Linked DNA regions of Danio rerio. The protein of the gene in region 2 interacts with the protein of the main gene of each other region in a biochemical or structural test. Links are inferred from orthologs where the notes say so. Each region holds a gene or a part of one and is shown on either strand. Other genes may lie near its edges.

The links.
Region 1: the proteins of nup153 (region 2) and senp2 form a complex in vitro, tested with the Homo sapiens proteins (2 studies listed by BioGRID). The link is inferred for Danio rerio from reciprocal best matches to the Homo sapiens genes NUP153 and SENP2.
Region 3: the proteins of nup153 (region 2) and kpnb1 form a complex in vitro, tested with the Homo sapiens proteins (4 studies listed by BioGRID and IntAct, with this or other methods). The link is inferred for Danio rerio from reciprocal best matches to the Homo sapiens genes NUP153 and KPNB1.

What each region holds. Positions count from the first base shown.
Region 1 is NC_133181.1:12,366,946-12,370,597, forward strand, and holds part of senp2 (sentrin-specific protease 2), read left to right. Parts: intron 1-1; coding exon 2-158; intron 159-239; coding exon 240-346; intron 347-429; coding exon 430-518; intron 519-632; coding exon 633-690; intron 691-776; coding exon 777-855; intron 856-1,871; coding exon 1,872-2,021; intron 2,022-3,035; coding exon 3,036-3,167; intron 3,168-3,652. UniProt on the Homo sapiens protein: Protease that catalyzes two essential functions in the SUMO pathway.
Region 2 is NC_133194.1:48,945,544-48,949,684, reverse strand, and holds the start of nup153 (nuclear pore complex protein Nup153), read left to right. Parts: upstream 1-1,334; 5' UTR 1,335-1,411; coding exon 1,412-1,489; intron 1,490-4,141. UniProt on the Homo sapiens protein: Component of the nuclear pore complex (NPC), a complex required for the trafficking across the nuclear envelope. Functions as a scaffolding element in the nuclear phase of the NPC essential for normal nucleocytoplasmic transport of proteins and mRNAs.
Region 3 is NC_133194.1:51,598,234-51,602,642, forward strand, and holds the start of kpnb1 (importin subunit beta-1), read left to right. Parts: upstream 1-1,484; 5' UTR 1,485-1,636; coding exon 1,637-1,676; intron 1,677-2,304; coding exon 2,305-2,363; intron 2,364-2,579; coding exon 2,580-2,762; intron 2,763-4,409. Other genes in the region: si:ch1073-205c8.3 (NEDD8-conjugating enzyme Ubc12), read left to right, coding at 1-113.

The DNA.
Region 1 (3,652 bases), on a different chromosome or scaffold from region 2:
GTGGAACAATGCTGTACAAAACAAATCAGGACAGAAGCAGAGAGATGCGCAGATCCTTGAAGCTTGTGCCGTCATGCACCACCAATGGGCTAAATTCAAGACAGGCTGAGATGGAGCTCCCAAGCCGCACACCCAAACCTTGCCTGACCGTGGAGGAGGTTAGCAAACTGAGTTGTAATGTTGTAACTTAGTACCTTTTTTTAAATACATGGCTTCCTGAGCATCTTTCTTTTGATTAGGCATTGAGAGAGAGTGATCGAGAGCATTATAGGAAGCTAGTGGAGATGGCATCTGAAAAATATTCAAAGAGCAAACCATTGCCGTTTGGACGGATAAAGCCTTCCATGTAAGCACATAAATTATATATGTTTTTAAATCACCACAGCTTAGCTGGTGCAAGTTAACACTGTTTTCAATCAAATCTTTTAGCACCGCTTTCCCCATTGATGGACACAAGGTCAGTGGACACACCTCCATCTGTCGCACTACTGACTTGAACAGACCTGCGCCAGTAAGAGGTGAGAGTTTATTTAAATTAATCTTCACTGTTATTAGAACTTCACATTTTTTCATAAGTGTTTGATGAAGAGTTCCATTATACTTACATTTTCTGTTTGCCTAATTGCCTTAAGTCATCCCTAACATTTCTATGTGGCGGGATCCACTATCCCTGACGCAGATTAAAGACAGGTAATACTTCAACATGCCACATAATCCTTATATGCGTTTGCTGAATGCAGAAAGATTCATTTCTGTTTATTTTTCAACTGTGACAGAACAGTGGATGGTCATCGAAGCACAACAGGAAGTGATGTCAAGGAAGGAGCCTTGGATAATCAAACTACACGAAAAACCGTAAGTGCTTGCTTCATGTGCTGTAAAGTGTCATGTGAAATCAAAATGTACAATGTTTATTTTGCTAGCTCACGTTTGTTACTCTTAAAGTGAACAATTAATCTGTGCAAGTTAATCTACTGAAAAAAAGTTAGTTTTATTAAATCAATCAAAGTTTGACCATTTGCTCTTACCTTTGGAGTGGTGATCCTTCTGTTGAGGTCAGTAGGAGGGTTTCCATAGCAACTGTATATTAATATCCTTAACCACACCCCTTTTACCATTAGTTTGCTATGAGGGAGTGATGTGCAAAATGAAAGCCCCACCCCCTACTCAATATTTTGTTACAGTTGGAAGTACATACTGAAATGAAGTCTCAGCATCTTCTGCTTTACACTGACTGAAATTATTATTTTGCAGACTAATAATAACGTAATTTTCTTTTTTAAATTATTTATTGTTTTCTGTGTATCTTAGGCCTGTCACAATAATCAATACATCAAGTTATCGCACAACACATGGACATGATCTCTATATCTATTGGAGGTGTCAGTGTGGTTAAAAAAAACAGTATAGTATTTACTGTAAATGACTTTAGTTCATTTTCATGTGGGTGTCTGACAATTGATCGCAGCATCTGGTACTTTTTACCTTGCACTTTTTATTATTGATTATTTAGGATTATGCGTTTTTACATTCTGATTCCAATGCCTAATTATTAAATTGTTAAAATGACTAATTAAAATATTTTTAGGAATAAAATATGATGTATTCTTTGGGAGAGTATTCTTGCGTAATGATGCTATTATATTGTCATTTTGGCATTGTATAACGAGCTGCAAAAATGTCTTAAAATTACATTAATATTGTTTATCGCGATATATTTTGGTGCAATGTATCATTCGACAAAAAATAGGTATCGTGACAGGCCTAGTGTAGCTGTATTTTGACCACATTTTAAAGCAACATAATGCAATAATGGCTCCTTGTAGTGTCTTTTTCTCCCTCTAACACCTTCTTTCTCACCTTCTCTTCAGGCTGTAGATGTTGATCTGTCAGCTGAGGTTGAAGCCAGGTTAAATCTGAAGGACAAGGATTCTGCTGTTGGACTTCTGATACCTTCCAGATCTGAAGTGATTACAGATGCAGTGAGGCGTGGTGAAGAGGAGTTTCCCAGACTGACCAAGGTTGTTACGGTCACCTCAGTCTCTCTCAGATTGATGTTTTAGTGGGTTAATTCTACTTTTATTTTCAAGATACTTGCATGAAAACATTTTTTTATTACTGGAAAATATTTCAAACCTGTTGCTCTAAACTTTAATTGCTAAAAATTCAAATTGGGCTGTTTTGTGCTCATTTTAAATTTTTTTTTTTAATCACATCCACTTATTACAGATATAAGCAGTTGCATTGACACTGAAAAGTCATGACTTTTACTGTCAAAAGTCATGACTGCCTGCACTCACACTGCATTACATTTCAAGCCGGAGCACGCTTACAACATCGATGATACGACTGTTCAGTTTAACAGGAATGAAAGCGCTCTCGCTCAGCACAGTGGACATTGCTTTAGTTATATAATGCAGAACAGATTCACCACTTTTGACGCTCATAAATTAGCATAAATTTCCTCGTGCATCATGTATTAAGAGGTTTCCTGAAGGTGCAGCAAGAGGGGTTTGCATCTTTGAGAAACTAGGACAGTTTGCGTTCATTGAAAAGTAAGAATGATTAATAAATCCATATGAAAAGTGAAGTTGTGTCTTCAGTTTTACGCTCACACTACAAGCCTACCGTGCCTGAGCACAACTGAACCACGCTCTGGCACACCTCCTTTAACCAGGCCACAGCCAGCCAACTGAACTGCACCTGGGCCCGATTCAGAGCACTCAAACTTTTCAATCAAACCGGGAAACGTGCCCGGGAATGTTTCGGTTAACCTAGTGTGAGTGCGCCCTTAATTTCGAAGAATTTTACAAATAATTTTTTCTATGAAAATACTCTTGATAAACTAATGATTTAATTAAACGTTGATATCACTAAAGCGAACTCCTTAACAAGAGAAATATTGTAATGTAAACCTTTTTTGTTGTTATTGTTGTTGTAATACAGTGTATTTGTTTTCACTCATGCATTAGTTGTCAGCTTGGTTGTTTTCCTTGTGGTTTGAGTCACAGTGTTCTCTTTGTGTCCTGTAACAGGAGATGCAGCAGGAAGTGAGTGCTGCTCTTGCTCAGAGTGATCCAAACCTGGTTTTGTGCAGTGCTTTCAAACTGCGTATCACACAGAGAGATCTGGCAACACTACAAGAGGGCAGCTGGCTCAATGATGAGGTAATGTCATTTTAAGGGTTTTATTCGAACAACACAAAATGTCAGTACAGTTATTTACTGCATAAAGTTAAAATTTCATTTCATTATTAATTATTTCCCAAATGATGTTTAACAGAGCAAGAAATTTTTCACAGTATTTCCTTTAAGATCTTTTTTTTCTAGAGAAAGTCTTTTTTTTTCAGCTAGAATAAAAGCAGTTTTTAATAAAAAAAACCAAAAAAACAATTAAGGTCAGCATTATTAGCCTCCTTAAGCATTATTAATTTTTGATTGTTACAGAACAAACCATCCTAATACAATGATTTGCATAATTAACCTGACTTGCCTAAATCTAACCTAGTTAAGCCTTTTAATGTCACTTTAAGGTGAATACTAATCTTGAGAAATGTCTAGTAAAATATTATGTACTGTCATCATATCAACCGGCTAAATTCACTTGTGCTTTTTTTTGCAAAAACCTCTCAATCCACCTATTAAGACAATAC
Region 2 (4,141 bases):
GCATGTGTTTGGACGGTACGGGAAACCGGAGCACCCGGAGGAAACCCACGCGAACACAGGGAGAACATCAAACTCCACACAGAAATGCCAACTGACCCAGGCTCGAACCAGCGACCTTCTTGCTGTGAGGCAAGAGCGCTACCCACTGCGCCACCGCGTCACCCCAAGAAAATTCTGAATAAATAAAAAATTATTTATTTATTAAAATGATACAAAATGAAACCATTTATTAACAAACAAATTTGTATGTAATTAAATGAAGATTATATTTAAATAATCTAATAATAATAAATTATAATTAGAAAAAAAAAATCCTAAATCAAAATCAAATAAATTACACGTTAAATTGTTAATATGAAATTTATTTAAACAAACAATAAATACATGAATTACATTAAAATGATGAAAAAAATGTCAGAAGCAATTAAAAATTAATAATAAATGCATCACAAAAAAGCAGAATTAAATAAATAAAATTAGTATAATTACAAATGAGTATAAAAATCAATTAGAAATATAATTAATAAATCAATACAATGATTGCATAAAGTAAATTAAAATAATATTTGGTACATTATTTAAAACAATTAAAAAAAAAAAAAAAATATATATATATATATATATATATATATATATATATATATATATATATATATATATATATATATATATATATATTGTTTCAACTGCAAAGCGATGGGTAGTATAATCGCCTCACAACAAGAAGGTCGCTGGTTCGAGCCTTGACTGGGTCTGTAGGTGTTTCTGTGTGGGGTTGCATGTGTTGGCGTGGGTTTCCTCCGGGTGCTCCGGTTTCCCCCACAGTCCAAACACATGCGGTACAGGTGGATTGGGTAGGCTAAATTGTATGTTGGTGAATAAGTGTGTATGGGTGTTTCCCAGTGATGGGTTGCGGCTGGAAGGGCATCTGCTGCGTAATACATATGCTGCATGAGTTTGCAGTTCATTCCGCTGTGGCGACCCCTGATTAATAAAGGGAATAAGCCGAAAAGAAAATGAATGAATGATATCTAATATCTAATATTTATGTTTACACTACATAAGCTATGGGTGGTTATACAAGAACCATTCATGACTGCTAGATGTTTATTTCTGGCATGAAGATGAACATATTTGGAGAAACCACTGTTTTAAAAATGAAACAGAAAGTATCTTGACCTAATTTACTAAATACCTCAGTTTACTCACATCTACAAAAGCAAAATCCCCTACCACCCGAACGAAGTTCCTACAAACTGACGTCAATAGTGAACGCGCATGAAGTGTCCTCCTGAACTACATATCCCATGAAACCCAGCGCCGCGGTGGCTGACGGTATATTGGAGGGCCGCGCTGTGACAGCGGAGCTCTATCCGGCGAGCGCTACTGAGCAGACTCAATCTAGTTAACCATGGCGGCGACAGGAGGAGGGAAAATCAGATCCAGAAGACACCACATTGCGTCAAAACCCTACGCCAAAGGCAAACAGGTAAACAAAACCAACATGAAGCGCCAACAGCGGGGAATGTAACGGTTATTAACGGAACCCTAACCAGCGGTTTGGCGGCGGGTTTTGTTTTTGTGAAGCAGGAGACATTTTGAGGCCTGTTTTAGGCCTGTTCACGTTCTTCCAGCACACGCTTTCCACACCGCCAACTCATTTGACTGATAAAACAAAGCCACTCGGTGAGGAAAATACTCGAAAATATGGCGACTGAGAAGTGAAATTTGAATGTGTTTTCACTGAGGTGAAGACAACCGCGTGAACGCGTTTCATACCCAAACCGTTAGCCGTTAGCTGCGGCTAGCACCGGCGTCAGATATAATCACTTCAGTCCAAACAAACCATTAAAACTTGGTTTTCGTAGCGAACGATTTCCTATTTAAGTTCTTTATACTCTTACTTTGACTACATAACTCGCGTGTGTCGCTCAGAGTGACTCCACATGAGAGTAATGAGCTTCAGAGCACTTTTTGTGTGCGTGTTGTTATATTTGTAAGTTTTAAGCTTGGTTGATGATCGTTTTGGATGTGATTAGAGATTAATATAACGGTATGTTTTGGCGTACATTATGCTGCTTAACGCAGTGGGGTTTGACATCATGAAGAAAGGCGGGATGAGCGAGTGTGTGCGTGTCGTGGCGTGTTTTCATCTGCACATCACACACACACTGGAAATCCTGCACTCATGTTATTTCATAAAGAACGTAAAGGTGTTGTGATTAACACAGGTTCGTGTGTGTTTTCATTAACAACAATTTTAATTAGCCTTATAGTGATCCTGAATTCATCATAAACAGTTATTCTGATAATTCATAACCTAAACACTATGAATCATAGTTGAAAATCACTTTGCATTTTTCGTGATATTACTAGATTATCTGTTTTAGGCAAATTAAGTGGGTTAGAGAGGCACATAAGCTATTTGGCAGTCAAAAACGCATTTTCTTTTGTGTGAGGTTTAATTAGAAGTTAGAAATAGTCGATGCATAGTGTTATGTGTAGGATACTGTAAAAATGAGACTGTTGATGTATTGAAAAATCATGAAATAAACTGGTTCGTGTTCAGCATGGTCAAAGTGTGTATTCTGGTATATTTAGTAATTAACCCCACGTAGAAATGCAAGATGTGAAGGCAGTTTAAAAGTCAGGGCGGTACATACTCGTATTTTTGTTGACATTTGTGCATCATTGCGCCTTGTTTTTATTTTCTACTGTCAATAGATTAATTGCACAGTATATTCTTTTTTTTCCCAATGAATTTAAGCCCCTCATTAATAAGGTTTTAAAACTGCATGTTCCAAGCTTAATAAAAAAGCAAGCACTTTATTGAATCTAGCTTAGGGTACATTAATTATGTTTATGCTGATCTATTAAAACCACAAGAAATTTTGTATTCGCCATGATCGGCCTGTAGCTCTCTGTGACTTACTGAAGAAATGCTGTGTGCTCTAGTTAAGTATGCTCATGTTTATTAGTGTTGTTTTGACTGTTAAATACTTGCTCATGCGTAAATATGTTATACACATACGAATAACCTCTCTGCTTTCCCCAAATCACTTTTTATTCTTTACCTGGTTACCTGAAAACAAAGTTTTTTTCGTTTTTGTTTTCTCCCAAAAAAGCCACATTTTACTGGACTGTCCTGCTTTTAATGATTCCAGAAGACTTTTTTTATGAAATTAACTCTTTTAAGGACATTTTTAACAAGGTGAAACTAGAAAAGATTTTAGAATTTCTATCATGCATCAACACTAAAAATCCTATTTAATTTATGTATTCTTTTGTTTGTTGACTTTTAATTGTGTATATATATTGTTGAAAGGTTCCTGCTATGAAAATAGCCTTAGTTGCTGAAATGGCATTAGATAAATACATTACATTACATTCCCAAAAAAGCCATAGTTGTAACCTCTTTATAAAAAGTATGCTTTGTCAGGCTTATAAATGCTGGGGCACACCAGGTTTACGCCTTACAACTAGCGCCAATGAAAACCGTTTGTAAGATGATTTGTTTTATTACTTTGCTTCGCAATAATCTGTTTTGTTGTTCAATACATGAAAACCGAACTTCCGACATGCACATGCAAAGTAGAGGTGTAAACCTACACTGGCCTCACGGTTCGGTTACGATTATCATGCCATCGATTCTATTCATTTCGATATCTCGGTGCATCACTGTGCATTGTCTGCTTTTTATACTTTATATGTGGATGTTTTGCATTTTCTGATTTGTTACCCTAATGTACAAGTCGCTCAAACTTACTCATTAAGATGCGGGAACCGGCAGACGTGCAACAGCATTAATCATAAACACAAAACTACAGTTTCCATCCGGAGCGACTTCACAGACTCTCGACACTTGTAAACACTCACTCAAACAGGTTGGCGCGGATCTCTGTCTCACCCACACTGGTCACAGCTAACAAGCTGACCTATTACAAAGCTTGTACTATGCGTCGTTGTGAAAGTATAGTTATATTTCTTGAGAAGTGTGCGGCAGCCACTGCGAGTGCTATGCAACTGCAAAGGCTGCACTGGAGCATACAAGTGCGCTTGATGAAGAAATGTAAATCAGCCTTAATTGTCTGCTTGCTACATTACTTCAGTTTTTATTTTTGCACTCTGATTGGTTGCTGAA
Region 3 (4,409 bases), about 2.7 Mb from region 2:
AAGAGGCAGCAGAGGTTCTGCAGACGAACCGGCGACTCTTCGAGCAGAACGTCCAGCGGTCGCTGCGGGGCGGATACGTGGGCGCCACCTACTTCGAGCGCTGCCTGAAATAGTCCCGCGCCCGCCGGCCCTCACGTCCGAGAATGCATTTATCGTTTACATGCGCTGAGATGTACTGACCGACACACTGACCGCTCTCGGGTGTGCGGGACGGTGGCGAGCGTTCACAGGCTGGTCAGTGGTTGTTGCTCAGAGAATTCAGTCGTATTTCGCCACTATGCTGGTACCCACTGTTTATTTTTTGCTGAGATTCACATGCTAACTCATCCTCCACTCAACATGAGCGTGCGCGGGGCAGACACACACACACACACACACACACACACACACACACTCACACACACTTCTCTATTCCATCACCCAGCTTGAGGACTGATTGGTTTGGGCTTGAGACGGCCGCTGCCCCGCGCCGCACACATCAGCCGTGTTCAGTCGTCCTCATGTCTCTGTCTGCCAGATTCTCTCAGTATCGGTTGTGTTTAGCGCTGCATTTGACCAATTCCTGATCACATTTATAAATTGATGGCCGCTGCATTGATCGCCGGCGGTGCACAGGCGGCCGCTGGGATATGTGTGCTGATTGGCTGTTGGAGAGCGGGGGGGCGGGTCTGCAGGACGGGGCGGGTTAGCGAGGGTTGCGTAATGTTACAATTCTGTTGTGTATATTAAATCCCAGTTGTTCACGATGACTGCAATATGAATTATGTTAAATAAAATATTGACTTGAATGCCTACAGTGATGGAGGAGTGTCAACTACAGCCTCACACACACACACAAACTGTCTCATACACACACACAAACACAACCTCACACACGCTTTCTCACAGACACACACACACCATCTCACACACTGCCTCTTCTACAGCAATAATAAACTGAGCACACTGAGCAGGAGCGCTGTTGTGTGTGTGTGTGTGTGTGTGTGTGTGTGTGTGCTTCTGCACAGGAAGCTGCTCTAGAACTCTCCTCCGCTCGTGTGTGATCAGTGTTCCTCAGGCTGAAGGGCTCATGATCACGGCTGCAGTACACTATGCTGAAGTACACTGAAGACCTGCTTCCTGTTCCCTGTGTGTGTAGTGTTCTGCAGAGGGATTGGGACAGCTATAACGAGCCCTCAGTGTGTGTCATAATAGTGCACATCTGCAGTTCACTTCATCAAAGTGCTGAGTAATGATGACTTTGCGCCTGAAGGTGCTGTTCCTCTAGTAATCAGTGTGCCGTGGGAATCACACCACACGCTACCCCTGATAACAGTGCGCTCCGTGTCTTCATCATCTGCTCTTTCTGACCCACACTCGGTCTGACGGGCTCTTGTAATGAACGCAGTTCTCCACACTATCGAGACGCTCCCTCAGTAGGCAGCAGAGCGTCATGATGCTGCGCGTGGGCGGGACCTGTGACGTCAGCGCGTGATATCGTTCCGCGGGCGGGAGTTCCGCGCGGCCTTTTCCTCGCGACAGCGGCTGATGAGCAGAAGCGGTAACCGCGAGAACGGCTCGGCGCTTCAGCATTAGGCGTGGACCGACCGACTTTACCGACCGACTGCACTCGTTCTGCCCCCGCGGACCCGACAGGATGGAGCTGATCACGATCCTCGAGAAGACCGTGTCTCCAGGTAAGCAATCCTCACACGCGCCTCTCCCGCGCACGGATGCCGTTTCTCCCGCGTGATGACCGGGGCTGAGCCGCTTCCCCGGGTGTGAGCGACGGTTAGCGGGCGGCTAACGCAGCGCAGGCCCGGTCGCTGAACCGCGAACGCGACGCGTTAATCTCCACCCGTCGAGTGGCGAACAGCAGCCGGACCCTCGGCTCGCCAGAGCAGGAGCGGGTTACCGGCCTGCTCGGTGTGTCCGGTCTCTGCGCGGTAACGAGTGTTAATGATCAGAGTTCACACACCGACACACGGCTCTACTTCATGGTCGCGCACATGTCGCGCCGCCGTGGGGTTTGTCCCGCCCGCGCTTCTGTTGGTAAAGTTGTTAGCAGTTAGCATGCTAGTCAGGAAGTGGCTAGGTGTTAGCATGGCTAGCACTCAGTCATCCTGTGCCGCTGCCTCTGAAAGTTCGCGCGTGTACGGCCGTGTCTAGTTTACACCGACTCTCCTCCCGCTCGGAGCCCGGTAAAGCGCTGTGGCCGAGCGCGATGCGGAGTTTCCCGGTTCTGACGCGCAGCTCCGCGTTTGGCGGGAGAGTTTCACAAGCGATCGATCAGGGAATTGACTGATGATTGTGATTGATTTTCAGATCGGAATGAGCTGGAGGCGGCACAGAAGTTTCTGGAGCAGGCGGCCATCGAGAACCTGGTGATGAAGCACACACACACACACACACACACACATCAACTGTCTCACAGACACACACACACTGTACTACTGTGTTGAATTGATAGTGTGTAAATTGTTTCTGGACCAGGACTCTGTTGTGTGTGTGGATCTCAGTACTGTGCTGAGATCAGCTCCAGCAGACCACTGGTTCTCCTACAGGTGTGTGTGTGTGTAACTCTGTGTTCTGCTTCTCAGCCGACCTTCCTGGTGGAGTTGTCCAAGGTGTTGGCGAACCCGGGGAACACACAGGTGGCTCGCGTCGCCGCCGGCCTGCAGGTCAAGAACTCTTTGACCTCTAAAGACCCGGAAGTGAAGAGTCAGTACCAGCAGAGATGGCTGGCTATCGACACCAGCGCACGCAGGGAGATCAAGAACTACGTAAGGATGCTGTGTGTGTGTGTGTGTGTGTAAGAGAGAGAGAGAGAGATCTTCAGGATGCAGGAAGGTAAAGTGTGTGTTCACAGAGATCAGACACACACTCCTAAATGATGGCGGTATTTGCTCAAACGGGCTGGACCAGCTGTAGAATGTGGATCTGCAGGAGTTTAGTACTTTCACTTACAGTAGTGCAGCGCTCAGCTTCCCCTGATCACTGACGGAGCATGCTGGAGTGTGTGTGTGTGTGATGTTGATGTGAGCGTCAGCATGGGGAACTTGAGTATTCATCTTGAAGTCCTCATGGCGGTCACTCTGCTGTTCTGAGATCAGCCTTTACAGCAGCAGGAGTTCAGTGATGATCAGCTGTGGTGAAAAACTTCGCTCAGTTTCTCCTGAACATCACTGCAGATGATTATAGTTTAATATTCAGGAAACCGCAGCACCTGAACACTACACCTGCAGACAGCCGTGTTCATGATGGAGGCATCGTGTGTGTGTGTGTGTGTGTGTGTGCGCGTGTGTGTGTGCACCGCCACTGCTGTTCTTCTGCTGTGCAGACAGGCCTGTGGAGGTTTAATGGAGCTCTGTGGTAGAGCGGGTAAATTGAGCTCTGGGCTCAGCTGTGCTGTTTAAGGCCCGACTGAAACACCTGCATTATTAAAGGGCCATGAGACCCCCTCGTTTCAGCAGGGTGTTTTCACACCTCTACTCTGGAAAAAGTCAGAAAAGTGGGCGTGTCCAGCTCTGTTTAGGGGGGAGTGTCGGAGGAACTAAAGTGGGAGGGTGTGGGAGTGTCTATTTGGGCACGCGCGAGTTTCAGAGTCAAAACACACACAGTAGAAAGTGATGGTGTTTAACCTACATGCACATCTGTAGTCGAATTATTTGCCAAATGATTAAATGCTGGACTTTAACTGCAGTTTGGCTCTTTCATTCAGGGAATTCATTCATGTCCCTCGCGACAAACGAGATATGTGATTCGAGGAACTGCTCTAAGCGTGTATTTTTCATGTAATGTTTGATCCCGCACGGCGAATGAGAGAAAAAAAACTCAGCATTTCCCGGAAACTTAAATGCACTCGGCAGGTAGTGTCAGAAAGCCGCGTGTGTTATTCCGGTCACTAAATGCGGTCACAAAATCCAACACGAGGGTAAAGTTTGGTTGTGGTGCTAACGTGTTTACACTCGGTGCAATAGTTTGTTAGATATAAACAAAGAGCGCTGGTCGCTCACTTACCAAACCTGTAGAGACAGGACAATCACCAGCAACTAGAGCCGCGTCTTTATTTAGAGGAGACTACAATCCGGATCTCAGCGTTTGCAGATGAGAACAGCTCTCAGGTAAACAATAATCCTCCTTAGACACGTAAGTTATTGTTGTCGAGCGTCGCGTACACTGTTAATCCACACGTGAGTCCAGCTGCGCTCTCACAGAGAGAAAATGAAAACAAAACTTCACTGCAGCAAACTATTAAAGCAACACTTCACGCTTGTTTTGCCAACACAACGTGGCGTCTCTGTCGTGTAAACATGGTGACAGTAATGAATATTAATGAAGTTGCACAATAGAGCGCGCTGATTGGTTTGAACCAAGCCTTACTCATGCATTAATGCAGCACACTGTAAGACGTAATAAGACACACTCTG